Linked DNA regions of Neurospora crassa OR74A. The protein of the gene in region 1 interacts with the protein of each later gene in a biochemical or structural test. Links are inferred from orthologs where the notes say so. Each region holds a gene or a part of one and is shown on either strand. Other genes may lie near its edges. The genes, in order: NCU01793, NCU09317, NCU07839 and NCU09076.

The links.
Region 2: the proteins of NCU01793 (region 1) and NCU09317 form a complex in vitro, tested with the Saccharomyces cerevisiae proteins (3 studies listed by BioGRID). The link is inferred for Neurospora crassa OR74A from reciprocal best matches to the Saccharomyces cerevisiae genes YRA1 and MEX67.
Region 3: the proteins of NCU01793 (region 1) and NCU07839 form a complex in vitro, tested with the Saccharomyces cerevisiae proteins (2 studies listed by BioGRID). The link is inferred for Neurospora crassa OR74A from reciprocal best matches to the Saccharomyces cerevisiae genes YRA1 and DBP2.
Region 4: the proteins of NCU01793 (region 1) and NCU09076 form a complex in vitro, tested with the Saccharomyces cerevisiae proteins (4 studies listed by BioGRID, with this or other methods). The link is inferred for Neurospora crassa OR74A from reciprocal best matches to the Saccharomyces cerevisiae genes YRA1 and SUB2.

What each region holds. Positions count from the first base shown.
Region 1 is NC_026502.1:2,391,556-2,399,056, reverse strand, and holds NCU01793 (RNA binding domain-containing protein), read right to left. Parts: upstream 5,015-7,501; 5' UTR 4,530-5,014; coding exon 4,299-4,529; intron 4,238-4,298; coding exon 4,208-4,237; intron 3,371-4,207; coding exon 3,206-3,370; intron 3,147-3,205; coding exon 2,823-3,146; 3' UTR 1,971-2,822; coding exon of another isoform or gene 1,604-1,970; 3' UTR 1,483-1,603; downstream 1-1,482. Other genes in the region: NCU16555 (uncharacterized protein), read left to right, coding at 252-599; NCU16554 (hypothetical protein), read left to right, coding at 1,222-1,286, 1,604-1,970; NCU01794 (hypothetical protein), read right to left, coding at 5,988-6,158; NCU01795 (zinc finger containing protein), read left to right, coding at 6,949-7,501. UniProt on the Saccharomyces cerevisiae protein: RNA-binding RNA annealing protein. May have a role in pre-mRNA metabolism. Component the TREX complex, which operates in coupling transcription elongation to mRNA export.
Region 2 is NC_026501.1:4,262,768-4,270,036, forward strand, and holds NCU09317 (hypothetical protein), read left to right. Parts: upstream 1-3,306; 5' UTR 3,307-3,833; intron 3,834-3,909; 5' UTR 3,910-4,040; coding exon 4,041-4,478; intron 4,479-4,560; coding exon 4,561-6,081; 3' UTR 6,082-6,466; downstream 6,467-7,269. Other genes in the region: NCU09318 (ATP-dependent DNA helicase mph-1), read right to left, coding at 1-2,818. UniProt on the Saccharomyces cerevisiae protein: Involved in the export of mRNA from the nucleus to the cytoplasm.
Region 3 is NC_026503.1:1,035,281-1,042,570, forward strand, and holds NCU07839 (ATP-dependent RNA helicase dbp-2), read left to right. Parts: upstream 1-2,188; 5' UTR 2,189-2,892; coding exon 2,893-3,008; intron 3,009-3,146; coding exon 3,147-4,366; intron 4,367-4,886; coding exon 4,887-5,015; intron 5,016-5,078; coding exon 5,079-5,228; intron 5,229-5,285; coding exon 5,286-5,359; 3' UTR 5,360-6,241; downstream 6,242-7,290. Other genes in the region: csb (DNA repair protein Rhp26/Rad26), read left to right, coding at 1-235; NCU07838 (hypothetical protein), read left to right, coding at 1,296-1,471, 1,808-1,859. UniProt on the Saccharomyces cerevisiae protein: ATP-dependent RNA helicase involved nonsense-mediated mRNA decay and ribosome biogenesis through rRNA processing. Associates directly with chromatin, correlating with transcriptional activity.
Region 4 is NC_026501.1:765,386-772,842, forward strand, and holds NCU09076 (ATP-dependent RNA helicase), read right to left. Parts: upstream 4,988-7,457; 5' UTR 4,596-4,987; coding exon 4,370-4,595; intron 3,627-4,369; coding exon 3,216-3,626; intron 3,163-3,215; coding exon 2,802-3,162; intron 2,747-2,801; coding exon 2,489-2,746; intron 2,436-2,488; coding exon 2,387-2,435; 3' UTR 1,808-2,386; downstream 1-1,807. Other genes in the region: NCU09074 (hypothetical protein), read right to left, coding at 1-462; NCU09075 (hypothetical protein), read right to left, coding at 1,298-1,588; NCU09077 (Rpr2 domain-containing protein), read left to right, coding at 5,413-6,024, 6,117-6,308; NCU09078 (hypothetical protein), read right to left, coding at 6,798-6,924, 7,093-7,214. UniProt on the Saccharomyces cerevisiae protein: ATP-binding RNA helicase component of the TREX complex involved in transcription elongation and required for the export of mRNA out of the nucleus. SUB2 also plays a role in pre-mRNA splicing and spliceosome assembly.

The DNA.
Region 1 (7,501 bases):
TTTTATCATCATTCTCTCAATAATCATAATTAACACACTGTCCTCCCAACGCCAGGTCACTTACACCAGTTCACAGACCGAAGTCACACCTATCAAGTCACAACCTCCAACTCCAAGTGTCAGCAACAAGTCACTCGATCTTCGCTACTGTCATCTTCAAGACAAAACAAACAATAACCTAAACCCAACAACCAAAACCAGGCAAGAACAAACCCTAAAACCACAGCAACTACATCCGCCCAGTTCCAAACATGACCTCTACCACCTCCTCCTCCCGACGCAGCTCATCCTCCTCCAACTTCAGCACCATCACCACCAGCAGCAGAAGTGGTTCACATTTCTCTCACTGCTCACACCCACACCATTCTTCGACGTCATCGCCATACTCGAGCACCGCCTCCAGCTTCGCAGGTATAGGCCCTACCATCACCATCAATACCACCTCCAGCGCGGCCAGCAGCCGCTCTTCCTCCTCCCCATCGTCACCTTCATCAGCATCGGCTTCCTATACAGCTGGAGAGGCCGCGAGGGATGCACAGATGGGAGCATCTATCTTGGCTTGGCCGGCTGATGAGGAGTGGATTGCTCCAAAAATCTGAGAGCGTATGTGGGAGGTAGAATTGGTTGGCCAGAGGGGGATATCGTACATGTCGGAGACAGGGCGTTTTGGTCATTTTTAGGACGACGGTGCTCGTGGAAAGTTAAACGGACATAGGAACGGAAGTGGGGAGGGGATTACACAGTTATAGGGGAAATGTGACATAACGGAGCTTACTTGGGAATGGCAAATATTGATTATGTGCTTGACAGTGCCTGCTAGACAGGTTACCAGTCACCATTATCACGACTTTCGACAGAGGATGCTTTGGTATCAGCTCAACAGATGGTCATAAGCATACTTAGTTGCATGTAATGGAGCTTGTCAAGCCAATAACACCAAGTGGTTAATTCATTTCATGTAGCAAGAGCTTCGCAAACCTTCCCAGAGCGGATAGAGTTGAACTGGTTCTGATGGCTCTCGTGACAGGTAGGTCATGTGGAATTGGGGGGGGGGGGGTCATTGCAGTAAGAGAAGAAAAAGAACAAAATAGATGGGAATACGGTTTATACCCAGCCAACACGTTTCCATCTCTACACTACGACGTGTTATTACCCCAATAATAATCGGTGGCCAAGTACGAACGAACGACAAACCCTCAGAGAACTTCCTCAACCTACATCATGGACCTCGACCAACACATACACCATCCATCCCTACGCAGGAACCCTCGAGTGGCGAGTGACCTGTATGTACCAGCCCGTCTGGACCCTCTTGGTCAACACCGCTCTGCAATCTCAGAATAAAGATGACGGGCATTAGAAGTAATTCAAGACTACCAAGCCAAGGCAGTATTGTACTTGACACCTTAACCCTATTCACGAACGGACTCGCACAAGTCACCCACCCTTGGCGATTCCACCAAGAATGAACCGGCTATTTTACTGAGAGAGACAATAGCATCCACTGAATACTCGCAAGTCTTGCTGCAAAACATTACAGGTATTACTACAAACATTTGTATCCATCCTTGCGCTCTTGTCAAAACTTCCGCCCTTCATTTAGGGAGTATTTGAGCAACAATTCTAGGAAACCAATTTACAGCCCATGCGCATTTACTTCCACCGCCTCTTACGTCTCTGAGACCACCACCACCACCACCACTACCCTCCAGCACACCAACCAATTACAAACTAAGATGTGTACCAAACACTTTGTCGACTCCTACTGCACCTCGTGTGACGAGCTCGTGCAAGGCCGATCGACAGAAAGCCCTTGCAAACCAAAATACAGAGGAGAGCATTTGGGACACTGCGCGGCAGGCATCGAAAGCAAGACTGTTACCGAAGCCGTGGTGTGCAAGAACTGCGAGAGGAAGCTGAGGAAGATGGAGAAGAAGAAGAAGGATAAGGGAAAGGAGAAGGACAAATAGCAGAAGTGTGGTTGTAGTTCTACTGCCGTGTGTGAATGAGGAGGAACTACGGCTTGCTGAATCGCGGAGGAATGGCAGGAAAGGGTGCCCTCTTATCAGCACGTGAAGCACTGTTTACGTTCGTGGCAGAATTCGGGGCATTATGACATTAACTTCCGCCTTTTTCTTGCCCGGAAGCGCTCGAGGGTCCTCGATCCACGCTGATCTAGCTGCTTGAGCTTTCTCTTCTGGTCTTGGGATGCACAATTTACCCTCCGCAGGTGTAGCTCTCTGTAAAGTACAGAAAGGCAACGCCCTGCGCATGCTAGATTTGGTCGTGACTTGCGATGTGAAAAGGACCACTGTGGATATTGCTCCCGCTTCGCTGACATATATGTCCGTTGCGCTCCAACAATTTAGTAGCAGAGGCGAGCTATTTGTTCGAAATTATATTCATCGCCTTGGGGTACTGGGAGGGGAAGACGCTTAACAGGCGACCAAAGGATAAGTGACAAAGTGCTGATAACAACACCAAATTGTGACCCTTGGCCCTTTGGCAGACGTGTCCTGCCGCAATCCATCTTCCATCAGAGGGACCGTAAACGACAGGAGCGAGATGGTAGGTCGCGGCGAACCAGTCGCAGGTCATACAGCATTCGCTAATAGAATAATAGTGGAGAGGCGATAATTGAAGGTCGTCGTGAGTCTGGAGAAAATTTCATCAAGCTGTTGACCTAAGCTGTAGACCCTGCCCGAACCCGAAATAAAATAGTAAAACAATCATAGACAATCCGAAATCCGTCAAACAAAGTTGTCGCTGAAGCTGGCATTCGCTCTCATCGACTGTTGCTGTTCCTCATGCATACCCTTCGTTCAAAGAATCTCGTCCTCCATGGGAGCATCACCACCGTTGGCAGCGGCCGGCGCGGCTCCGGTGGCGTTGTCCGTGGTGCCACTCTCGAAGTAGTCAGCCATCTCAGAATCCAACTCCTCGACGGTCTTCTTGGCAGGGCGGGCGCTGCGAGGGCGACGGGGACCCTTCTTGCTGCCAGGCTTAGCAGCAGCAGCACCCTTGGGGGCGTTGGCGGCATGCTTGACAGTGGCGGCAGACTTGGGCTGGGCCTTGGGCTGTGTGATACGCTGAGTCAGGCTCTTGGGCTGAGGGATCAACTCGGCATTGGAAACAACGACCTCGACCTAGGGGAACGTTAGAAAAGCCAGAACCAGAAGATTCATACAATGGAGAATGAGCGTACCTTGACCGGGCGGTTGTCAATCAGGAGACCGTTGAGAGTGTTGTACGCCTTGGTAGCACCATCGGCGTGGTGGAAGGTAATATGAGCAATACCGCGGCTAGTGCCTCCGGGCCCATACGAAAGTTCCACCCTCTTGACCTGTCCAATAGCTTGCTGGAAGTATTCCTATCACAGGGTAATTCGTGGTTAGCGTCGTGCGCCAGTTTCAGTGTGGTCGTGTTCGTAACGGTTCGGTTTCAAATCGGTCAAAGCTAGGGCATTATCTCGAGCCGGCCCAAAACCAGGATATAGCCAGAGCAGCGCGCGTAATCTCCAGGTCAGCAACACCAGCAACTGGCAGGTGAGCCGAAAATCCAACACTCACTAGAGCCATCCATACGATCCGATGCGTCTGGGCCCACAGCCCGTAAAGCAGTAGGACGTGTGAAGGGATCCAGTTATGCCAGACAATCCAAGCATGGTCCAGTTGATGTGATGCCGTCCTCTCGTAGAATTCCCGAACAACCACGATGCTAGACCCCGGTTCCCCGGAGTTGTAAATCCCCTGATGGACCAAAACCCCCCAGAAATCGTCCAACCAGGACATGAGAAACAGAGCCTCGAACATCGCTCACTGCGTGGCGCGCTGGGGTGCAAAGATCGACTTCAAGGTGACCAGCCAGGAAGAGATGATGCATGACCCCCCAGCTAGGCTCCCATACAAGATTTGTCTGCCGGATCCTGCACTGCTTGTCCCTTTCCGAACCAGAGGCGCTTGCCAGCCACCACAATGATAAGGAGGGGAGAGCGTGACTGCGATCTGCTCAACTCGCAACATGACGAAATGTAATGACACACGTCAGGGAGGAGCAATCAACGGCAGTCTTGATGGCCTAGGGCCGATTTGCAATAAACGACCGTCCCGACCGCCCAGTGGAGAAAACGACGCCGATTGGATACGCCACGGAAGAGGGATGTCGATAAAAGTCCGAAGGCTAAATGGCCTCATCGGTAATAACATACCTTGATCTGGCCTTCGGAAACGTCCTTGGGCTGCGATGGGAGTTAGCGGTGAAGGATGCTACGCAGGAGAAAGCTGGAGGACGCGACTCACCAGGTTGCTCACGACAATCTTGCTCTCGCCGGTAAGACCAGCACTCTTTGCGGGCGCCGGCTTGGCAGCGTTGCGAGCGGGCTTTGTGTTCTTTTGGATACCGCCAGCGGGGGCAGCATTGGTGGGCTTACCGCCAGCCGAGCGGCGACCTCCACGGCCGCGGGCGTTGGACTTACCGCGGCGCTGAGTGGAGAGAATCTCGTCGAGAGACTGGTCGAGCTTTCCGGACATTATGGCGGTGGGTTGCTGGAAAGTGATTTAGAAGTGGTGAGAAAGACGAGACGCGTGGTCAAGGTGGCTTCAGAGATTAGGAAGCGCGGACGGGCTCAGATGCGCAGTAGAGCTGGCGAAGGTCGCGTTGGGCAGAAGAGTGATAGGGAGGTCAGGTTACGACTCGCTGGTAGCGCAAGGTCGCGTGAAGTCGAAGCGGAGCAAGGGTCGCGCTGCAACGGAAAAGGTGCAGCGACACTGTGATCTGATCGACTCGAATGGCAAGTGGAAATGGACGTGGTCAGGCTGACGAAGTTGGATGCAGTCCTGCGAGCAATGAAAAGAATATGGGTCTTGAGCGGATGGGCTGTATCGGTGATGGACTTTGGCTTTGGCGGTGATAGTAGGTTGTGTTGGGGAATAGGTGGTGTTGTTTGGGTGATAAAGTGGTGAATGGGCGAGAGAGGTGAACGAGGGGGGGGCGGAGGAGGGAGTAGAAACCGGTGTCCGCCCAGAATTTGAGGGAGAACCGACGGGGACCGGAGCCACCTCGCTGCGCTTTCGTCAAGGCTTGGCAGGCTGAGCAGGCTCCCGCCCATACACTACTAACTTGCGGCCACACGCGCCTGTCCTGAACAACATCCAACGTGACGGGATCCTTGCCGCACTGGCCACCCCACCGCTTTGGCTTCGCTCAGAAGGGGAAAGAACAGTCATGGCCAATCACAGCCTTGTGGCAATCGCTTTGGCTGATGGCACTCATTGGTACGCTAATCTCTTTGGGGCTAGACCCATCCCTCCTGACGCAGCTGGGCCGTTCTGTTATGGTACCGGTACCTGCGATGGCGGGACACATAGCCAACTCTCCGAGACGCGTCACCACTTTCAGGGACCCTTTGGAGCTGTGTGTCCTTGTTTATGGATGTTCTTATCCCACACACTCCAAGCTTCCACTTGCTTCTTCAGGGACGTTTGCAATTGAGCTCTTTCACAAGCGGAAACAAAGAACGACCCCTTTGCACATAACAAAAGAACAAACCATATTATTAGTCAGTCATGCTACCCAGAGCGCTTGGCACCCTTCTGCTACTTAACTGGTGACATGATACACCATGATCCGAACAAAAACTGAAATCCAGTGCAAGAGTCTGCTCCTATGCATTGGGTCAACCATGGGGTATCAACCGACTCTGACCCATTCAATCCTCCTCGGCCCGAAACCTCGTTACTTTCCTAATGCTATGTCCCTGTATTCCTTTTGTGATTCCGGGGTTCCCTTCCCTTGCATATCGGTTGCGCCCCAGACCAGCTCTGTCCTGCTCTGCCCTCAGTAGAAGAGAGTGTTCTGTAGGCCGTCTGTCTCCTGTCCTTCTCGGCCTCGCCCCAACCAGATGTCCCAAGGGCGGGACAAGCTGTATCGTGCCGTTTGTGAAATATAGTCTCTGTCTTCGTACCGTACAATTTTGCGGACGCTGTGTCCTATTTTGCCTTGGTCGGGGCCGATGCCACCTTTGTTGCCTTCTTCTCCTGGACAACATCGGTTTCGAGATCTTCGGCATTGGTTTCGAGGAAGTGGTGGAGAACAATAAGAACCATGGCCGCGCACCCGAGAACGATGGCGAGACGGTAAAGTTCGGCGTCAGAAATCATTGTGTCGTTGGCGTAGGAAAAGTCTGTGTTGGGTATTCGTTCGGTGCCGTAACTGGTAGCTGTAGACTTGTTGCGACTCGCAATGCTTGGAGGGGAGTTCAAGTGGGTCCAAAGGGCGCTGTTCTGCTGCTCAAAAAGCTGTCAATCAGACGGCTGGACAGAGACAAGAAAATGCCGTGCTCACTTTTTCTTGGTGATGCCAATCGCACTGGCTGTTCTGCGCCGGGAGGACCGCAAATTCGAAAGTGATGATGCCGATTGTCGGGTGTTATGGACAGCTTTCCACCTTGAGGGCCGCGACGCAGCATCGATGTATCGGTACATCTCCATCCGTTCATTTACAAGAGGATCCGATAGTCACGTGGACGGACCCAAGCTGAAGGAAGGACCTCTTCTTTCGTTAGGTATACCGGCTGCGCTGCCCGGACCAACGTCAGGGCTTCTGTGGGCGGACACCCCAGCGCTTTAAATCCCGGGCGGCGTCAGTGGGCCCATTCCACTTTGGTTAGAGTTGTTTCAACCCACCCACTTCGAATTGCCTCCAAGAAACTCTCCAGGAAGACTTGGTCGAGATCCCCGCCTTCGTCTGCAAATCTTTTGAAGGTCGCTGCGACAACACGCTCTATTTACAACCTACGCGCCGCCACCACCCCAGCTGCGACAGCGACTCGATATAACATACATACGTGATCCATTAACTTGCGCATCACGACACACACACACACACACACACACACACACACACACACAAACTCTACTCTCTGGTTCCCGATCGCGATATTTGCCCATCATGCCTCCCAAGAAGCAGGAACCGAAGGCCGCCGGCAAGAAGAAGGCTGTCGAAGACAAGACCTTCGGCATGAAGAACAAGAAGGGCTCTGCCGCCCAGAAGCAGATTGCCGCCCTGCAGGCCTCAATGAAGAACGGCGGAAACGCTGAGCAGAAACGCAAGGAAGCCGAGAAGGCGGCCCGTGAGCGCGAGAAGAAGGCGGCTGAGGATGCCAAGAGGGAGGCCGATCTGCTTCTCAACAAGCCCGCCCAGATCCAAAAGGTTCCCTTTGGTGTCGACCCCAAGACCGTTGTCTGCATTTTCTTCAAGAAGGGCAACTGCGAAAAGGGCAAGAAGTGCAAGTTTTCCCACGACCTGGAGCAAGAGCGCAAGGTCGAGAAGAGGAATCTGTACCAAGATACACGAGCAGAGGAGGACGACAAGAAGAAGCAAGAGACCTCGGCGGACTGGGACGAAGAAAAGCTGCGTTCCGTCGTCTTGTCGAAGAAGGGCAACCAGCGCACCACCACCGACAAGGTGTGCAAGTTCTTTATCGAAGCGATCGAGGAGGGCA
Region 2 (7,269 bases), on another chromosome or scaffold:
GCCTACTTTGTTCGTCATCGTCGACATTGCCATCATATTCGTTGCCACCCTCTTCACAGTCGCTGATAAGTGCGGTATGTCGTGCTCGAGGCTTGTTGGTCTGTTTGGAGACCCCGGTAGATTTGGTTTTTGCTGTCGCTTGACGTTTCTTAGGTGCGGCATATTGCTCTGCTTCCTCTGCTTCCTGCCCACTCTCGAGGCGCGGCCTCTTCTTTTGCCCCTTTCGTGACGTTTCTCCTTCTGTTTCGTCCGCAAGGGGCGGCAATGGTATCAATTCCCAGGAGGACGTGTCTGTTTCACCGTATGGCTTAGTATACCTATTCGCAGGAGCTTGAGACTTTGCCAGGCTCCTAAACAGTTTCACACATCGCTTGGTATATTCCCCGTGTTTGACATGGATGGTTTTCTGGACCACTCGTCTGGATGTTGGATGGCGATACCAGTCTATATCCAACTCTTCAACCTTCGAGTGTCCGAGGGGTATCTTTGTATAGTTTCTGCGGAGCTCGTTTTCCTGCGACGTGCTCAGCAAAATGCTTTCGAGTTTGGGCCGTTCGGCAATAAAGTCAGTTTCCTTAGGCGCAGGTGGCCTAGCGGGTGGTTTGGCTGTCTTAGCTCCAGCTTGACCAAAGAAAGAAGCCTTGATGAACCCTGTTTCAACACCGTCAGGCATGTTGAACTTCTTCTTTGCCGGCTTTGTCCTCATTCTTGCGGCAGATCTTTTTGGTTCTGGGAGCTCTGGATTTTGGGAGTTCTCAAGTGGAATCTCCACAACCTTCTTTTCCACCTCAGGTCGTATGTCTCGTGGCACAATACGTGAAGAAAGGTCGTGACGAAAGGTAAAGCGGCTGCCCTCGCATATCATTCTCTGCATGGTCGCGTAGTTGTCCTTCGCCTCGTTGAATTTGTCTTCCTCTTTCCCTTTCATCAACAAAAGTACAATGTTACCCGCTCTCTTGCGGCCGGTACGACCCATACGCTGAAGCATTCGGATCGGTGACGCTGATGCATCGTAGCAGACAATGAGATCCACTTGGCCAATATCAAGACCCTCCTCGCCAATGGATGTTGCGACCAGAACGTTGTGAGCGCCGTTCTTGAACTTCTCGATCGTCTCAATTTGTTGTTTCTGTTTCATGCCCTCACTCCTCTTCGAGTCCGCTTGTCCAACGAAGACTGTGGCCTTGATAAGGGGTTGCTTGTTGAGAATGCGCACAATCTCTTCGGCACTGTCTCGGTATTCACTGAATACAATGGCTCTGGTATTGGAGCCCTCGCCAGCATCCATGAAGTGGTTGACCAGGGTCTCACAAAGATATTCCAGCTTGGGGTGTCCGAGGAACCCATCAATCTTCATCCAACCCTCAATCATGTCCATCATCTTCTGAAAGTTCTCATCCTCCAAGACTTGCCGCTTGAGCTTTGACCCTTTTCCTCCTTTCTCCTCCTCGGTGGTGCGGAATTCGGCCAGATTATTGTAGAACGGTTTGATTCCATGGAAGTTGAGTAGTTTGATGGAATGCGCCAAACTCTGGAGAATCGCAAATGTGGCTATGACACTGAATTTGGTTCCTTGGTTTACGTGCCTACCCGGACCTGCCATCCAGTCATTCCTGGCTTTCATCAGGCCGTAGGTAGTCAGGCTCATGGGGTCCCTGCCGTAGTATATATTTTGTGAACTCAGCTTGGTCACAAGGGGCTTCAGGGCCTTGGAGAACAAGTCTCTGACTTCCATCATTTCGTCAGAGGGGTCGAATGTTATCGTGTTGATGTCTCTTGAGTGCACATATTGACGAATGTCGATTGACTCTTCGGTTCTGATCTCGACGTGAGAAATGCCCAGATTATCAATGACGTCCTGAACACCTTCGAGAGACGATCCTGGTGTAGCAGTCAGAGCAAGAATTCGAAAGCTCTTGGAGAAACGCCTTAAAAATTCGACCACCTTGACGTATGCATAGTCTCCAGTCGCACGATGCGCCTCGTCAATAACCAGCAGTACGATGGACTTGGGATCGGCATAGCCCTTGGAAAGGTCATTCATTAGTGTTTGGGGTGTCATGAAGAACAGGCGCTTTGTTGCCCATTCGTCCTCACGTAGAACAGGAGGAGTCTCTCCGGTTAGGAGAGTCGCCTGAGATCGCGGGATGCCCGCTATGCTGAGACATGCTTGAACTTGTTGTGAAGCAAGGGGTTTCGTAGGAGCAACAAAGACAGCCTTTGCGGTTTTTGTCCAGCGGATGTAGTTTAGCATGATTGTCGCAGCAATAAATGTCTTTCCCAAACCCGTGGGGAGGGCGACCAATGTGTTGTTGAAGAGGCCATTTTTGACAATGCTGAACTGGTAGTCTCGAATAGGTCCCAGATTCATCGGATAAACCCATGTTTTCATTTCTTCTATGTCAATCTCATGGTGAGTGGGCTGCTCTGGGGGCATATCGGCACGGAATGGTCGATTCGACACCGCTTGCGGGGCGGGTTGCGCATCCTCCTCCAGCGTGCCACCCCATAGTGTCGTCTGACGCAGATTCTTACGCTGGCTGGACTGAGCTAGGGACGGGCGAGACGTTGTCGCTGACGTGGTCGGCTTGCTTGCTGTTTTGGCACGCCCTGTAGCTGTAGCCTGACCCTGCGATACGGTTGGAGTAACGATTCGTCTTGCAGAATCGGATATTGGCCACGCTTGTGCTGGTGGTTTTGCCGACGAGGCAAGCTGCTTGCTGTTGCTGGGGTGATGTGATGTGATGTTGCCGGTGGCCTGGGTGAAGGCCAACATCAAATCCTCATCAGGAATATCGTCAAAGTCATCGTCATCCATGACTTGAGAGTTGTGAGGTTGTAGAAAAGAAAGAACCTTGACGATTCGAGATTCGATGCGCCGATGCTTGGGCAGTTAATACAACCGGACTTTGTTTTCTTGCCTTTTTTTTTTAAACTTCTTGTTCTGGTGATGAAACTTAAGGCTTGTCGGATGAAATTCTTGGAAGTGAAACAATTGACATTCATAACAGTCCGTTTGCATAGGTGAACCGACCCTATCGTCACACAAGCCCGGCCTGATATGAGACGCGTCGCTGTTTTAATGGACGGGCTATTCCCTTGACACGTTCCATCGCCATAGCACGTGAATTGGTGTGGGCAGTCTGGGTGCTGCCGCCTGGGGAGTTCGCAGCAGAACAGCGTCAGAGTGGGGCTGTTGCATCTTGGGTGGGGCAGGTTTGCGTCAAAATCCGATCGCTTGTCTCTGTGGTCCGCTGGAGCCTGGCGCACTGGTCGGAGCTTGGCTCATTGCCTTGAGTTCAAGTTGCATGCTCCTCCACTGCCGCCGCTAAGGTATTTCCTTTTTGGAGGTCCGGCAGGCTGAACCTTCTTTCTTCCATTCTCCAATCCGTCATCGAAACCTTCCTCATTTCTCGACCTTCTCGCGTCGTCAGTTGGCATCGGCAGCCCAACAAACTCTTCAGTACTGACCGGCTGATGACTCTTGCGCATCCTCGTACTCGCCCGTTGCTTCAGAGCTAGCAGCTTCCGTACGCATATTCAACCAACGATCACGAGCGAAGCGGCGGCCTTCTACTTCTACTTCCGTACCTTTGGATCTCCGCGTCGTCTTTGTCGCCCCACCTCCAAGCATCTTTTACATCTTTCTTTACCTCGACAAATCCCTTTAGAGAAGCGCACCTAGACTCTAAGCGAAGTGTCCTTTGACACCTATCTGGGCCACTCTCAAATACAGCGTCCCAAATCCACCCAGCGGTGATCAATCCCCGGTCGGCATCGGCCGCCTGTTTTTCTTGAGCAGGCCGCTCTCCCGCCTAACGGCGACACCAAAGGTAAGCCTCGACTCTGCATCTTAGTACCCTTCCCCAGTTCCCCCGACCACGACCGGAACTTTGACCATCGGGGCAGCGAAGAAGTCGGCGAACAAGGACAACTCGCAACTCCACGACTCACTGTCCTTTCATCAACAACTCGGCGAGAAAAAAAAATCACCCGCAACTCACACCGAACGTTTTCTCTTCAGAATTCAACGAACAACCATGGCACCTCCTACTGGTCCTCGCGCCGGAACTGGAAGGGCTCCTCCTCGTGGACCCCGAGCAACAGGCGGCGGTGGCGGAATCCAGAAGCGTCGCGCAAACCCGAGGACGGACCGAGATGGAGATGTGTCAATGGATGCTCCGGCTGGTGGCTCTGGTAGGGGTGGGTTGGCTTCCGGTGGTCGAGGACGTGGCTCCAAAGATGCTCGAGGTGGAAGAGGTGCGGTGAACTCCCGGACAGCATCCCGGGTCGTGCAGAACCTACAGAACTACGTCAGCGGAGGTCCCGTCGGCAAAACACAGTCCAATATGGCCACACTGAAGATTCACGGTATGAGCAATAGCAAAGCTACCGGCAATCGCGATGGAGGGCTTCGGTCACTTCTCACCTTTCTGGAACGAAAGGCTTCCAAAGACAAAGCAGTTACAATCGGCAAGGTATACTTTCCCATCCACCGACATCCCCAAGCGCGCAATATTCTGCAACTGCGATAACCGACACCTTCTAACCCATCGATAGAGTATAATGGACGGCGATTATGTGTGGATCACGGTCAGAAAAGATGACGCCCCGGAGATCTTGAGGCTCAATGGCTTCACCTATGCCGGTGCACCCCTGACGATTACGGAAACCACCGAGAGGATGCCTCGCCCCGAAGACAAGATTTCCAAGGCTGCTGAGGAGACCAAACAAAAATTGACAGCAGTGCTAGCTGCGCGCTACAATCCAGAGTTGAAGCTGCTTGACTTATCTTCTCTTGGAACCGATCCCATCCTCAGCAGCATGGGCACGTTTGATTCCAAGGATCGGGCCGAAAAGGCCTTCAAGGTCTTGGTAGTTATTGCTAGTCAGCAGTACAAGACCGCTGCCGAAAAGCGTGAAGGGATACAGGCCATTTCCCTTGCTAGCAACGGCCTTAACGACGTCATGCAGGTTTTCACGCTTGCTACGTCACTTCCAGATATCAAGAGACTTGACCTGAGCAGCAACAACCTCGACAGTCTGTCCAAGATCTCCAAGTGGCAGCACCGCTTTCAGTACCTCGAAGAGCTTCATCTCACAGGCAACCCCATCACCACCCAGCCCGACTTCGTGGCAGAACTCATCAAATGGTTCCCATCGCTACAGAACATCAACGGACAAATTGTTCGCAGCCCACAAGAGGTTACTGAGGCCCTCAAGGGCATGCACCCCACGCCACTACCGCAGTTCCCCTCCAACCTACGGGACGGGGAGGCCAATGTGGCGAGCATCTTTGTCCAAGTTTTCTTCCCCATGTTCGACAGCGACAGAGCTCGCCTCGCCGCTGAGTTCTACGACGACGACTCGTGGTTTTCGATTCAAGCCATTGCCAATTCTGGTCGTAATCTTCCTTGGAAAACTTACCTCAAATACTCCCGCAACGTTCACAAATTGGGAGAGAAGAATCCAGCAACGGTACAACGTCTCTTCACCGGAGGAAATCTCATTGCGGACATGTGGAAGGCTCTCCCCAGTACTCGCCATCCAAGCATGGAGAACCCTGGTGCCTGGCTCATCGACTGCCACACCTTCCCCAACCTCGCGGACCCCACCGGCCACGGCTTCGCTACGGGATTGCTCATCACCGTCAATGGCCAGTTTGAAGAGTCCGATACTACAGAAAACCTCTACGGAAAGCGCACCTTCACGCGCACGTTCATTCTTGGACCCAGCAAGCCGAGCAACCCGCCGCCGGTGCACCCATACCGGGTTATTAGCGATCAACTCACCCTTCATGACTGGACACCCGCGGAGACACCTGCTGGTCAGGCCCCTGTCGCCAACCAGGTCCCGCAGGTTCCGGTTACCAACGCTGTGCCTCCAGCAGAACCTGTCATGTTGGATGATGCCACGAAGAACCAGCTGATTCAGGAGGTGATGAAGCGGACTGGCATGACAGCAGAATACTCAGAGTTGTGTCTCAGTGGCACTGCCAACTGGAACTTTGAGCTGGCACTCAAGTCATTCGAGGAGCAGAGGGCGAACTTGCCGCCCACGGCCTTTATCAACGCTGTCTAGGGGACAGCGCAGGTCACCAGCGTCAGCATGGTTTGTTAGTTCATGGTGGATCAGCGCTAGTTGGGTAAATACCCTCTGCCTGGATGAGTTGGAGACAAAGGAAAAGGAAGACAAAAACTACTGAAAGCCAAGGAACGAAGACTGGGAAAGAGGAAAGGGTTTAAGGGTCAAGGATGAACTTTGTACAATACTTGCATTGCCATACTATCTCAAGGGAGCAACGGAATGGGTCGGTTAGCGGAATTCTTATAAGGCGGTCACTCGACTTGATATTGCGGAAACTTAGCGTGCGTTAACAATTGAGATACCTGGAGCTCTTTTGGGCTTTGACCAAAGAGTCTCCCACATTCACGGTTTTTTTTCATCTAATTATAATCTCTTTTATTAATATTTTCTCCTATTTGGGTGAGGACGCTTACGGAAGATGCTCGAGCGTAATTGGTACACAACGTTCATGCTGGTCAGGCCCAGTAGCTTAACCACCGTGAAATTGGTAACCACGGTTGTGATAAAGTACGAGATCACACAGCTAATAAGATCTCGAAGCCGCGCGCCATTCTTGGCGATTGGGGTTTGGTGGTGAGCATCTGATTGTTGGTTTCCCCATCATGCGACGTTTCTTGAATCGCTGCTCCACTGCGGCCACTGCCACCCCGGCAGTGGATCGGTACCTGCATCTGTCGATCTTTCATAGGGCGGCTTTGGGAGAAAAATGCTGAGTGGTCCTGGTACGATGAGCAGTCATCATCACCTGTTTGGCCTCGTCCAATGGGCGCCGGCAAGAGTTTTATCGGATGAGGGGTAGTATGGGCGCTTACTTGTATTGATCTTGGTTGTTACGACTTACGATGGGGAAACAATCATGTTCGACACTTGAACCTGAGTGAGAGCCAGGAATAAATTTTCCGTTGAGGATTGGCTTTTTCTACGCTTTTCGCTTTTCGGCGATCGGTTAGGTGATCGGTTATCTATCATCAGTGGGAGTGATCGACATTTCATATGCTGGCTAAAGGTATGTGATCGATTAGATGAAAGACGACCAAGCGGATGTGAATACTTATATAATCGCGGGAGTTGCGACTTGTCATCCTTCAATTGAAGCCTTGTGTTGAGTAAGTGTGAGGTAAGGTAGTTTTCTCCAGCCAGAACCCATCACTGCATTCCAATGGTCGGCGAAAGTTGAGTTTC
Region 3 (7,290 bases), on another chromosome or scaffold:
ACCGTCTGATAAAAGGAACCTGAAAGCAGAGGACTTTGAAAGAATGATTCCGGCGTTCATTAAACGACATGGTGGCAGGGTCCCATCGAAGTCGCTCGTCGACCACTTCAATCACTATTGCACGGGAGCGAGGCAGGCAGATATGTTCAAAATTGCTCTGGAGAAGGTGGCCAAGTTGGAGAAGAAGGGGTCGAGCATGCGGGGCATTTGGACTGTTCGTCCGGAGTATCATTGATGTTCTTTCGGACGATACACAGATAACGTTCACATTGGCAGCCAGAGGTATAAGGGCGGTTTTGATCTCGAAATTGCCAAGACGGACTGGAACCCTGAATTACATCAATGGATTTGTACAAGATCTAGATGGTGGTCTGAAAAGATTATGGAGGACACTATTGGGGTATGTATGTCTGGGAGCTTACACCTCCTTGGAAGAGAGTGGATGGGTTATCGCGTCGCCTTTTCGTTGCGTTTATGATACCAACGTATGTAACTTTTTTTTTTTTTTTTTTTTAAAAAAACAAAAAAAAAAAAACCAAAAAAAAAAACAAAAGAAAGAAAACACAAAAAGAAAACAAAACAAAACGAAAACCAAGCGTCGGCTTTATTCATGTCCAGTCTTGCCTGCTTAATCAATCGCGTGAATAAATGGCTGTAAAGATTTGGTAACCAACAGACTTAAGGTGCTCTTCACGCTCCAGTATTAATAGTGACTTTTCGCTGCCTTTATCAAATGCACAAACCTCAACTTGAACATGATATCGAGCACGTCTGACAGCGATGTGCAAGCCCAAGAGACTGGAGCCGGAGCCGGACTGAGACTCGGCAATGTTGTCACTCCGGATGCAGTTTCCAATGCCGGCAATGCAACCGATCGGGCGCCACCACCGCTCTCACCAGGAGACTATACAGTGTACAACCGACTAGACGAGCGAATGGACTACTTTGTCTGTGCTCATCCTTTCCTGCACTCTATTCCTCGATATCAGATTGAAGTACAATCACTGTCGCTCGGTGTGGAATACGCTCGACACAGCTTGTACCTGTGACAACGGTAGTCAAGGCACAGCAGCACTGACTGAGCGACAACCCATAGAATGCGGGCTCCGTCACTCGCTACCTAAAAGCTCACCAATCCATCAAAGACTTGCATGGTTTCCTTATAGCAAAGCAAATGCCTCAATTGAGAGCTGCCATCAAGGCCCATAATCGTCAACGTCGTCATCATTATCAGCAGCAGCATCAGCATCGTAAGCGAAACGGAAGAAGAGTATCAGGGGGGGCCAAAGGAGGACATGGAAGAAGCAGCGAACCATGATTTAATCCAGCAACACCGTACCATTCACTTGGGCATGGAGCAGTTCGAAAAGGACCTGAAGAATTGCAGGAGCAAAGAGAAAGCGTTTAGTCTGCTGGTGCTGGAGCGTTTGGATCAGGAGGTGGAGGAGTTGGGGCGGAGAGGAGAAGATGAGTAAGTTTTGGGAGTTTGGAGGGGACGGAGAGATTGCTGTTGTCCGAAAGAAACCAAGAGGGCAAGTCAGGGAAGGGGCTTGAAGGTCGTGAGTAGTGTAGTGATCGAAAAATGTTTCAGGACATGGAAGTGGTGGTTTGTGTTGAGAGAATGTGGCTGATGGTGGTGGACTAGACCAGGCGGTGGTGATGGATTTATTGCCACTCTTTGTGTACGCAGTAGTGTACATCCTGGTCGGCTGCGGAACGGACTGGAAGTTGCTGCTCCCAAAGTCTTCAGATGAGGTGGGAGATGGATGGCAATATGAGGCCTAAGTACGGCTGTATACACGTGTAGAAACATGCTAGCATCGAGCATGGACATGTATGTGAACAGGCAACTCCTATAGAATGTGGTCAAGATTACAGATTCTCTTTTCCGTTCCCTGACAGCTGAGGTGAGCGACGACGGATGATTGCCCAACAACCGCGACGCGCAGCAAAGACTGCCAAGCATAATCCGCCAGTGAAGCAAGAACGAGAACCCTTCTGGCAAAGCGGAGTCGGTGAACCAGGTGACGCCAATTCCCGCAAAGGTGGACTTCTGCCTGATTGATAAGGCCACACATGCCTTATCGGCGCTTTATCTGTGCTTATCTGTGCTTGTCAACAGTGAAAGAATGCAGGCCCGCCAAGTGTTGCCAGTCGGGTCCAGTTTTTTTTTTCTCTGGTGCCAGACCGCCCCTACATGGAAGTCTGGGGGACAGGTACGGCAATGCCCGGTCCCCTCAAATCCGCCTTCGCTGTAACGACTGCAGTGAACTGAAGGGAAGGGAAGAAAAAAAAAATATTTTTCTGGGGCACTTGCACGCAAGGGACGCGTTGCGCCTTCCGCCTCCAACAAAAAGAAAGACTTTTTCTTCCCGCTTGGAGGCGAGTCGGGTCTGGCACAGGATCCGCATCTCACATCCACTAGCACTGCACAGCGGAACCCACCAATCCTCCATCGACATCTCCCTTTGGTCAGGTTCTTTTCCCATACTAACCTTACGTGACGGGTCCTTGTCCAGTGCCCCCAGAGTTTTTTTCGTTTCGACTTCCGTCCAGAAAAACTTGCACTTCACCCTTCGCAGCAGCCCTTTTCTTCCTTCCTTCCACCCACCCTCCATCTCCAATATCCCTTCCCGCCTACTTCTTGCGATTCTGCAAGATTCTTCATCCGCGATCCTTCTTTAACCAGTCGGACTGCTTACTTGTAACCACTTCACGCGTGTCGTTTGGTTCTTGTCTCTAGACGTCTGTCTTTTCCGACGTCTTCTTTTCCCGACAATCGATACCCTTGCGCCTCTAGGCCTTGTTTGCTCGTCGTTTCGGTCTACCCTTCAGCAACCCCAATAACAACCGATCTTCAATTTTCAACCTTTTCTTAAACAACCAGCAAACATGTCCGGATCTTACGGCGGCGGCGGCTACGGTGGCCGCGGTGGCGGTGGTGGTGGATATTCTAACGGGTACGATCGCAATGGCGGCGGCTACTCTAACAACTACTCCTCACACGGGTATGATGTTTTAGCGCGAACCTGCTCATTTCCTCTCTCTCTCTCTCTCTCTCTCTCTCTCTCTCTCTCTCTCTCTCTCTCTCTCTCTCTCTCTCTCTTTGCATTTCAAGATCAAATTGCTAACATCTGGTTCAACAGTGGCTCGAATGGCTACGGAGGCGGCGGCGGAGGATATGGCGGCGGTGGTGGTGGCTACGGAGGCGGCGGCTACGGTGGTGGTGGCGGCGGTGATAGGATGTCTGCTCTCGGTGCTGGTCTGCAGAAGCAGAACTGGGACATGAGCGCTCTTCCCAAGTTCGAGAAGTCCTTCTACCAAGAGCATCCTAGCGTCGCCAACCGATCTCCTGCTGAGGTCGACAAGTTCCGCGCAGACCACTCCATTGCCGTCTTCGGTAACAACGTTCCCAAGCCTGTCGAGACCTTCGACGAGGCTGGTTTCCCTCGCTACGTTATGGACGAGGTCAAGGCTCAGGGTTTCCCTGCTCCTACTGCCATTCAGTCGCAGGGCTGGCCCATGGCCCTTTCTGGTCGCGATGTCGTCGGTATTGCCGAGACCGGTTCCGGAAAGACGCTCACCTACTGCCTTCCCGCCATCGTTCACATCAACGCTCAGCCTCTCCTCGCTCCCGGCGATGGCCCTATCGTCCTCATCCTCGCCCCTACCCGTGAGTTGGCTGTCCAGATTCAGCAAGAAATCTCCAAGTTCGGCAAGTCGTCCCGCATTCGCAACACCTGCGTCTACGGTGGTGTCCCCAAGGGTCCCCAGATTCGCGATCTTTCCAGGGGAGTCGAGGTCTGTATCGCCACCCCCGGCCGTTTGATCGATATGCTCGAGTCTGGCAAGACCAACCTCCGTCGTGTCACCTACCTTGTCCTCGATGAGGCTGATCGCATGTTGGACATGGGTTTCGAGCCCCAAATTCGCAAGATCATCGGCCAGATTCGCCCTGATCGTCAGACTCTCATGTGGTCTGCTACCTGGCCCAAGGAGGTCCGCAACTTGGCCGCCGACTTCTTGACCGACTTCATCCAGGTCAACATCGGTTCCATGGATTTGGCTGCCAACCACCGTATCACCCAGATCGTCGAGGTTGTTTCCGAGTCCGAGAAGCGTGATCGCATGATCAAGCATCTTGAGAAGATTATGGAGGGCCGCGAGAACCAGAACAAGATCCTCATCTTCACCGGCACCAAGCGTGTCGCCGACGACATCACCCGCTTCCTCCGCCAGGACGGCTGGCCCGCTCTTTCCATCCACGGCGACAAGCAACAGAACGAGCGTGACTGGGTTTTGGACCAGTTCAAGACTGGCAAGAGCCCTATCATGGTTGCCACCGACGTGGCTTCTCGTGGTATCGGTATGTATCCATCTTACCCCTCCGCCCTGCCCAAACCCCTCCCCCCTTCTTCTCTCCCCCATCTCAGGCGACTTCCAGCATACGTACGTGCTTGTGCTTTACTCTTATGTCTAGGGGCTCTCTTGATTGCGCGAACTTGCCTGACCTCGTGTCGACTTGGTCTATCTGAGTGGAGTCTTGGGTTCGTGACGTAGCAGAAACAGTGGACTATGCTACGCCCGCGTGATTCTTCAATTGTACCTTTTTATCCCAGTTGTGGTACAAGCGAGGAGTAGGCATTTCTTGATTCCCGTCAAGCTTGTCTCCAAGATTCCCAAGGGGATTTGCATGCATGGCCCAAGGATCTCTGGAACCTTGGATCCCAACCCGGCATATTTTTCGCAATGGACAGCCCACCTGCCAAGGAGAGAAGTACTACCAGAGGATCACAGAACATACCTAGATATTCGTGTTCTCCGTCCGTTCTGGAATGTCGTTATTCCAAACCCTGCTATTGCTAACCACGGTCCTTTAAAAAAAGATGTGCGCAACATTACTCACGTGCTCAACTATGACTACCCCAACAACTCCGAGGATTACATCCATCGTATCGGCCGAACTGGTCGTGCCGGTGCGAAGGGTACTGCCATTACTTTCTTCACCACTGACAGTAAGTGTCACCTGAATCTGCCCATCCTTAGCCGAACGAAATTCTAATGTTATCTCTCCACAGACTCCAAGCAGGCTCGTGAGCTCGTCGGTGTGCTTCAAGAAGCTAAGCAGCAGATTGACCCTAGACTTGCCGAGATGGCTCGCTACAGTGGTGGTGGAGGTGGCCGCTTCGGTGGCTATCGCGGCCGTGGCGGCGGTGGATGGCGCGGTGGTAAGTCATTTTCACGCAGGTGAATTTGGCAGTTCCAATCCTAATAACCCTCATTAGGCCGTGGCGGCGGTGGTGGCGGCGGCTCCGTCGGTGGTGCTAATGCTCTTCCGCTTAACAACCGCCGGTGGTAAAGCACCACTTGAAGCGAATCAGCACATATCAATTGACCTTCCTGGTCCAATCCATTGTCGCCATGGTCATTCCACACGACGAATGGCCCATTACAGCGACAATTTCGACCTCGAACATGATCACGGCGTTTTAGTAGAGGATACGGTCTAGAGGTTGGTTTATTGCTTTCAGACGCTCACTGGTGTCTGTTTTCACCTTGACGTCTAGGTGGTATGGGTGTGGCTTTGTTCTTTTTTTCTCGTATTCCCTTATTGTCATGCTTGCGGGTTACTATTTTCACTGAGGTCAGCCGGGGTTCCAAAATTTTCCTTCATTTTTTCGGAAAGTCTCATCTACAGGTCATGTTGCACCACAACTGCACTTGCAGATCATCAAACTGTCCAGGTCAAGATGGCCGGGTTTTATACCCTTCACCATATCTCGTCATGCCATTGCTCCGTCAAGGCATTATATGACTTATGACGACGGCTTATCAGTCGAGGTGTGAACAAGAGATTTCAACTCTCTTGCTTCCCTAACAGGACGGGCGCAGGCTTCTCGCCTCTCATCCTCGTTGATTAGTGATGATCTTACCGCAGACTTGTGGTAGCAGTCGATAGGTACTATCCTCTGCTTTTTGTGTTGTACAATAGGAAGAGGATCCTTTTCAAAGCATCACGGCTTGAAAGATTTTCGAAGGATCTGTCTAGTCACCAAGAGAGTCAGAGATAAACACGCGCTTTGTTTGCGCCCTTGGGCGCTGCAAGACTACTGCTCACCAGCTGGGTGGGATGTTTACGGTAATTGTCACCGAGAGAGGGTAGTAGAAATGAACTGGGTAGGTCTCCAAAGAAAGATACAGATACCCTTTATGCTTAGATGGAAAAGAACATTTACGCTAGAGGTCTCTGTCCTAGCTCGCTGTCTAAGTGATTGAGGTTGAATGTTTTGAGGTCTACGCTCAAGTAGATGTCTCGCTCAAGTGTGTACCTGTGACGATTTCCCAGAATTCCTAGGGTAATTCAACGATTTGATTATGGAGTGCTCGCGATAAAGCTGTAGGTTTCACGTCGATGAGTCTTCTCTACGAGGTTAGTCCTTCACTTCCATATAGAAGATCAGTATGAACATCTTTCTGATATATGTGTCTCGTAACATTCGACTTAATGCTCTGTACTTTATGTTCGCAGAGTATTTCCTGTTCTACTCTCTCACTCTGAGGTACTGATTGACTGTAGAGAAGCCGCTTGGCACGATTTGTGCTGCGTTCCAAGGTTAGTATGAATTGTGTGCTTTGATATGTTAGTCTTGTGATTAGGTGAGAAAAATGAGCAACCTCCAACCACGTTTTGCGGGCTTCAGCGTCACGACTACTATAGTCTTATGATTCCGGTGTTGATTTTGCTGAATGGCCATCAGGTTAACATATGGGCTCGAGTGTCTGCTGAGGTCCGATCGTCAAGTAACTAATGATGATGAGGAAGGAGCGATTCGAGGTAAGGAGAGAACGACTTGATGTTGGTGGGTCTCTGGCATTCACTGGGCACAGCACTGGGCACAGCCCCAGTCCCCACTCTGTGCCCTGCCCAGACCGCACCATATCTAGCCTTCCAGATTCGGCCAGTCTCCCTCTTCCTCTTTCTTCTCTATAGTACTTAATTAATTGTATCCAACCGCTTGATTTCGTTGGTGATCCTATAGGTTATGAGCCCTCTCTAACCTTCCTTGTAATTGTATTTAACGAGCGTATCCTTAAAGTGTATCGTCGGCTTCAATTGCCAATTTCAATAAGGCGCTATAGTACCGGGTTAAAAGAAGTAATGCGACCCTTATTGATTTAACGATTTGCCCGTTCGCCTATAAGCTAGTATTGCTATATGAAGATTCTCGTTAATATTTGTTGTATAGCGACCCTATCGAATTAGTTATTAATTTATTTAATGAATTAATT
Region 4 (7,457 bases), on another chromosome or scaffold:
AGCAATTGTCCAACCCAGACTTTGATCGGAAGGAACGGCAGAGGCAAGCATGTCAAGGACTGCGAAGGGGGGTAAATGAGAGAGCATCAAGGACACAGTGGTCGTGGACAGATGTCTAAGTGAAGCAGATCTGGCGAAGGGACCCGGGAGTGAGTTGAGACCCTCAACGTCGTTGTTTCTCATACACTCGAGCTTCCGTGGGATAATGAACTCGTTGAAACGCTCAGCGATCTTCCAAGCTTGAGATTGATCATTCGAGGCTGCAGATGTCAAGATGTCGATGACCACCGAGAGGGGTAGATAAGAGAGTATGAATCTGAGGTCTTCGGTCGCAATGTGGCTTTCTGGGCTCATTTTGACGGGTTTTGGGAGGGCCGCGAGCTGTTCAGATGCGAACTGGTTGGCGCCAGAATCTGCAGAGGAGGCTCGACGCCGCTTGCGAGGGACCACGGGCGAAGTCATGTTGAGGGGTCAAAGGCCCGGCGAAGAAGACTGATATCTGGTGATGTATTCTGGGATGTGAGCGGCACGATGCTCTCGTCGGCGTCGAGAACCCTGCACGCGGGGAGATGGCAAATGAAGTCTTGTTACAGCGGCAGCGATGACCAGATCCGATTTAATGGAAGCAAAAAGGAAAGAAAGAAAAGGTTTAGAAAACAACAGGAGTCGGAATCCCAGCTGTTATGAGTGATTGGGGAAAGAAAGTTCACTCATGGATCGCTGAGGAGGGGTACAGGTTGATGGAAGGAGGGAATATCAGGCCTCCGCCCGAACAAGTCCCTTCAACCAACGGCCCTTCCATCTGAACCTTGCTTGTTGGATCCCCTGTCCAGCGCAGTTCTTGAACCTGAAGTTTGCGTCCACAGGGCAAAGTGCTGTTCGAGGGTGAACTATCGGACTGCGGCAGTACCTGCACTAACAACTCCCCACCCCACTTTGAAGATAGACAACAGCAGAAGGCACATCCTGTAAAGTGGAAGGAAACTATCGCGGTGATGGCTGGCACGGAAAGAGCTCAGGACTGACGAGGAAGCCATTCCCAAGGCGACTTACTGTATGGGAGCCTGGTTGGTCACGAGAAGAACCCAAGTCCCCCAGGTCTTTGGCCAGTCTTCTCTTTCGCAGAATCAAGAACTTTCCCATATGTTTGGGTCCCAGAAATCACTTTCAAATCATGATTCATTCAGCTCGCCGGTGCTCGGCCACGAGTGCCTTCCAAGATCAAGCAAATCATTGTGAGAGGAACTGAGTGATTGGTGCGAAGAAGTGGACTGCCTAATCCTATCTCAAACATCTTTCAAGCAAGAAAACTTGGTCGAGTAAGCATTTTCTCCAGGTCGCCCTCAGAGAGGTATCCATCCGTGTTTTCGACGATTCCCTTGGGTAAACGCAGGAATTGTTCGGCGGGCGAGAGAGCGGCGAAAGAGAGATCGAGCTTGTTGGCATAGGAAGGGTCGAGGGAATCGAAGGGGTACTTCTCGATGTAATCGGGAGAATAGAATTGGGCGGCAAAAGGTTTGACGCGGGCGTATTCCATTTTGCCCCAGAAGGAAGAGGGGTCTTCGTCGGAGTCGTCGATGGTTTTCATTGTTTTTGTGGGTGGGTGGGTGTGTTGATTGGAGTTATACTGTGTAGGGAGATGTTATTTTTGAGAGATGGACCACTGAATGAAAGAAAATGTATATGAGGGTGGGAGAAGGAGCTGGGAGAACCCCTTTTGTATAAGTCGCGGGAGAAGAAGTTTTGTTGTTGTCGTTGGCGGCATTGTTAATATTGAAATCACGCGCTTCCTATGGGACCACACTGACGCAAAAAACTCGTATTACCTCCAACTACGTATAATTCAGAACTGCAACTGTAAAATAATAAGCCTTGGCAGTTGTTGACAAGGTAACCGATGCGAGAATACGTGTTGATGACGCTGCGTGAGGCTGAATCGACCAAGCTGCCGCGCATCAAATCAGTCTACTTTTTTGTCTCTTGACCATGTCACACACTCACATCTCAATATCCAGATCTTCGAAGCTCTTCCCAAAAAGAACAGGCAGGCTCTTGTTTTGTCCCAGTTATCAGACCCAAGCTACAGTTATCATAACAACAAGCCGAAACGCTTCCGACCTTGTAACAAATAAGAGAACTCTAAGCTTTTCTCCTCTCGGGCCTTTCATAGCTCCGTACGTACGTCATCATTTCCCTTTCGTTTGTTTTTGTTGTGTTTTGGAACCAATCAAGCTTTCCACCAGTTCATGATCAAAGAAGAAACAGGAGAGATAAAGCAGAAAAAATATGGAGAGTTCAGCCTGAGACAAACTTTGTGACCGAGAGCCCTTGACACATTATCCATCCTCAAAGCACGCTACATACTGTCCTTTCTTTGATAAACCGTTTAGGAAGCCATGTAGGTGGAGGCATCGATACCTTCCTTGGGGAACTCACTGTAGCGGGGTTAGTATATGTTTGGTGGACGAAAAAGGTGTGGCGAACTTACGGAAGAGCAACCTCGAAGCGCTTCTCAATAGCCTTGAGGACCTCCTTGTCCTGGTCAGTGGTAACGAAGGAGATGGCAAGACCCTTGGTACCGAAACGACCAGCACGACCGACACGATGGAGGTAAGAGTCGGCATCGGCGGGGAGATCGTAGTTGATGGCGAGGTTGATGCGTTCGATATCGATACCACGACCAAAGACGTCAGTGGCGACGCAGATACGCTTGTTGAATTCCTTGAATTCCTTGTAACGACGGATACTACAAGGAGAGTCAGTAGGCGCCCACACAATGATGTCGGGACAGGTGTACGTACCGCTCCTCCTGGCTCACACCGGAGTGGACAGCGATCGAAGGGAAGTTACACTCGCGCAAAAGCTTGTCCAGCTCGGTAGCACGGAGAGTGCTCTTGACGAAGATGATGACCTGGTTGAACTGCAGCTCGTCGAGAAGCTCGTTGAGCTTGCGGTTCTTCTCGCGCTCCTCAAGAGGAATGTAGTATTGCTGAAGACCGTGAAGGGTCAATTTGGTGTCTTCGTCAACGTAGTGCTCGGTAGGGTTCTGCATGAACTTGCGGCAGATAGGCTTGATCTCGTCCGACAGGGTAGCGGAGAACATCATGACCTGCTTCTGCTGGGGAGTGGCGCGGAAAATCTCCTGAACGTCGCGGCGCATGTCTATTTGGGGGTTAGTGACCATCGGTCGGCTGTTGACTACAACGGGAACTTACCGATCTGGTCGAGCATCTTGTCGCACTCATCGAGAACGAACATGCGGACGCTTCCGAGACGGAGGTGCTTGTCGCGCACCAGGGCGTTGAGACGACCGGGAGTACCGACGATGATGTGGGGATGGGTCTCCTTGTTCTTGAGAACCTCGGCATCCTTCTGGATGGGAGTACCACCGTAGAAGACGCCGGTCTTGATGTCGGGCATGTACTTGCTGAAGCGGTTGTACTCGTTGCGGATCTGGAAAGCGAGCTCACGAGTGTGGCACATGACGAGGACAGAGCACTCGCCGGCGACGGGCTCAACTTGCTGAAGAGTGGTAAGGACGAAGACAGCCGTCTTACCGAGACCGGACTTGGCTTGGCAGATGATATCACCACCAAGCATGGCCTGGGGGATACATGTCTGCTGAACTGTATTCGAGGACCGGATTAGAATCGAGTTACGCAAGCTTTGAATTGGGTACGAAGAAGGACAGGGTGGTATCGAGAGCGAAGGGCCCGTCCATCGTCGCAGCAGCAAAAAGACTTTTTTTTCGTTTATCCGTTCCTCCCGTCGTAGGTGCGTGGTGCCGACATCATATTTGTTCCAAGCATGGATCGAGTGAAGAGACGCGTCTCGTGATGGTGTCACGCGCATTGTAACGGTTCCATGACATCACCAGTCATCAACGACTTAGTATAAAGCGGTCGACGACTCTTTCGAGACCGCAGGGGACAAAGTCTCCCTTGACCGGGGATCCCCCATTGAAGGGCCCAAGGGTGCTTAGCCCGAGGGTGAGCCTTTTGGGGTGATCGCTCTCCGCTCGCCATTGTGCCATTTCCACCTCGGCACCGTGATCGTAGTCGCGTGTACCGGGGTGCCAAGTTCCAGCAGCGCTCGAAGGCGCGAACAGCCTACGCTCGTTTCCGAGACGCAAAGCGTGAACAAAATGATGATGTAGGTCGTGGTGGTGGACGCTAACCGCCAAAGCACCACGTTTCCTCCCCGAGGCGTAATGACGGCAGCGCGCGTTTCGGTGCTCCTCTTCCGACGTGCCAAGTGCCCATGATGACGCAGTATAGTCTTTTGTATTTGCTTGCGATGATGGACGGAACCCGATGTTTGAGGCAGGAGGTGTAACGATAAGCTGGGGGTAAAATTTGTCAGGACTAACCCTCCGAGGGATGCTCGAAGCCGCAATCGGCAATGGCGCGAAGAAGTTCGGGCTTCAGCAGAAAGTCGCGGAAGCCAGTCGAGTGGATGCCGACATAGGAGCCCTTCTTGGTGTCGACAGTCTGGCCGGCGGGGACAGCCTCGGCCTTCTTGCCGTTGGTGGGAGCGGCGGAGTCGTTGTTGAGCTCGTCGTCAGAGTAGTCGATGAGATCTTCCTCGGCGGACATGTTGGCGGTTGTGGTGTTGGTGGTGGTAGTGGTGGGTGAGTGGTTGTGATTAATTAGTGAGAGAGCGTGTCAAGGCTGGAATGTGCGGCTGACGACGACTACGACGAAGGCGACAACAGAAAGCTGGGGAAGAGAAATCCGGTCAAGAGAAAGAAAGTGGAAGATTGCTGGAGTCGAATGAGGTTGCGCAGACCAGTCGAGGCAGAAGGCTACGTGATGCTGCGGAGAAGAAGTGGAGAGGAAAAGAGGCGACGCGCTGATGGAAGTTGGAAGATGTTGAAAAGTCGGAGGGTGCGACGGATCAACGAAAGGTTCCAAAATAAGCAGCAGGTTCAGGTTCCCGTCGCTGCTCCAGTCACGCACACGCACCCGGGGGGGGCGCTGCACCACCGGCCACCACCACCCCGTCGTGACTGTTGGCGTGACCTGGACGAGGCGCAGGCGTGGCCGCCCGCCTGTTGCAGTCCAAAGGCCCAAGGTTTGAGGAGAACGCCAGCTGGCAGTCCGCCTTGTTTCATGAGGCAACTGTGGCTGAGCACCCATGTTGGCATCATACCAGCTGCCCCTGCTCTGGCGGCTCCCGGTCCATGAGTGACGCACTGACCCTTCCGAACACCTTCAGTCACTCCCTTGCAGCGCCGCCCTCATCCACAGTGAATGCCAACTGCATGCCAGTCTTGGCACCAATTGCAAACGACAAAGAACAAACGCTCTTCCACAAACCGTGGATGGACAAAAGCAGCACTCAATAATATCAGCCAAAAAAATAATACCCCAACACAAGAACAATAGAAAACGAGACACAAGACTAGCAAAAATGGCCAAAGGCGGCGGTAAAAACAACGGCGGGGTCCAAAACAGGGCAATCTACTCCCGCGTCTCCTTCCTCCAGCAAGCCGCCGTTTTTCTATCCCGGCAGTCTCAGTCACAACACCAGCAACAACAACAACAACAACAACACCAATCACTCCCGTCTTCCACATCCTCAGCCTTGGCTCCCCTTGTTCCACCACCAACGTCACTAGAAGGCATGTCCCGTCGTCTAGCCACCGACCTCCGCTCCGTGTCCCTCAAGACCCGGATCCGTCTCAGTCCTGCCGTCAAGCGGACCATCTGCAAGTACTGCGACTCGGTTCTTATTGACGGGTCAACATGCACAACGGTCATTGAGAACAGGAGCAAGGGCGGGCGCAAGCCGTGGGCGGATGTCTTGGTAAGGAGGTGTCATGCGTGCAAGAAGGAGAGGAGGTATCCAATTGAGGCGAAGAGGACGAAGCGGAAGACGGAACGCGGGATAACGGGAGAAGACGCGGCTGGTGGGGATGCCATGGAAGTCGATGGCCCTCCTGTTGCCGGAAAGGGGAAGGGGCAGAAGCAACAGGGCCATAAGCAGAAGCAGAAACAGCCGCAGGGTCAGACGGAGGTGGAAGTACGGGAACAGAAAGGATGAATGAGATCGAGGCTGGACGGCGCTCAACATGAGAAGAGCGTCGGTCTCAACCTAGACTTACGCCCAAATAGCACGACAAGCATCATGCTCGAGTTGGTCAGCCAGATGTGTGGGAAAAGCGCCGACGAGGCTGCATGTCCCTCTTCATTGAACACGCCGAGGCCAGGAGAATAGTTGAAGAGCCTAGCCAAGGTGAGGATCTTGGTTACGTCGACTCGGGTCAGGTCCGAGGACATGGCCTGTCGGAGAAAGTCTGGTGGTAACATACCGATCGTAACCAGTTCCGGGACCTACCCCGAGGTCTCGCGAGTAGCAAGCCGTCTTCTACGGCGGGGTGGATTTTTACGATCCAGGGTCACGACAAGGGAGTGTATCCGCTTCAACATCTCCAGACTGGCTAGTAGCGAAGGACAACTGAGGACGTTCTAGCACCTACAAACCTTCTAGCCCGAATTGGAGGAAATCGCAAGAACACTGGTAGAAGCCGTGCTGCCGTGTTAGTCAGACGAACCAAATCAAAACCATATCAGGAAGCCGGCCCTTCACACATATCTACAACCTCCAGTGACTACTCTTTCATGAACATACATCATGGCATGGTATAATTCGTTGCTCTGTTACGCGTAACTCCGTATCCCGTATCATCGTGATTGCTTTGACCGCCTGTTCCTCCTTGCTCCCGCTTGTTCAAACTGAATGTTTCCATAGTTCACAACCCAACCGCAACCTCATCCCCATCTTCCACCACACCCTCACCTTTGCTGCCCACCCTGCCCACCTTGACCACCTTGACCACCACCCTGCTGCTGCTCAACCACCTGCTGAGCCTGCACACTCTGGACACTTTCTTCTCCTAGAACTTTACTCGCTGCCATGAACCTGTATTGTGTGTATCATCATCATCTCGAATCAGTAATTTCTCAAAACTCTTCCAGCTGGTGCAGTGATTTAAGGAAGAGGGAAGAGGGAAGGCAAAGAGAAGAAACACACAAACAAACGGGAAAAGAAGGAAAGAAAAAAAAGAAAGAAAAGAATAAGATGACTTACAATCCACCATGCCAACTCCCCAACCCCCTCATGCACTCTGCCTGCACGCTGGTCATGCGCAAGAGGTTCTCGGTGTCGGCGAGGTTATTGGATAGTTGCGTTAATTGAGCGTGGAGTTGGGACTAGTCAGTCAGTCGGGTTTTGTTAGCTTCTTATTTTCCTCCCTCCCTCCCTTCCTTCCTTCCTTCCTTCCTCTCTTTTTTCTTTCTTCTGGAAAGAAAATAAAAATGGAGAAACGTAGCATGTACAACCATATGATGGATCGAAATAGTCAGAGTGTACGATGACTACAATGTGTAAAAAGACAGGATACGTATAGACATCAGAGTGCAGTGCCACCTAAACACCACAAGCATCCCTTCTCC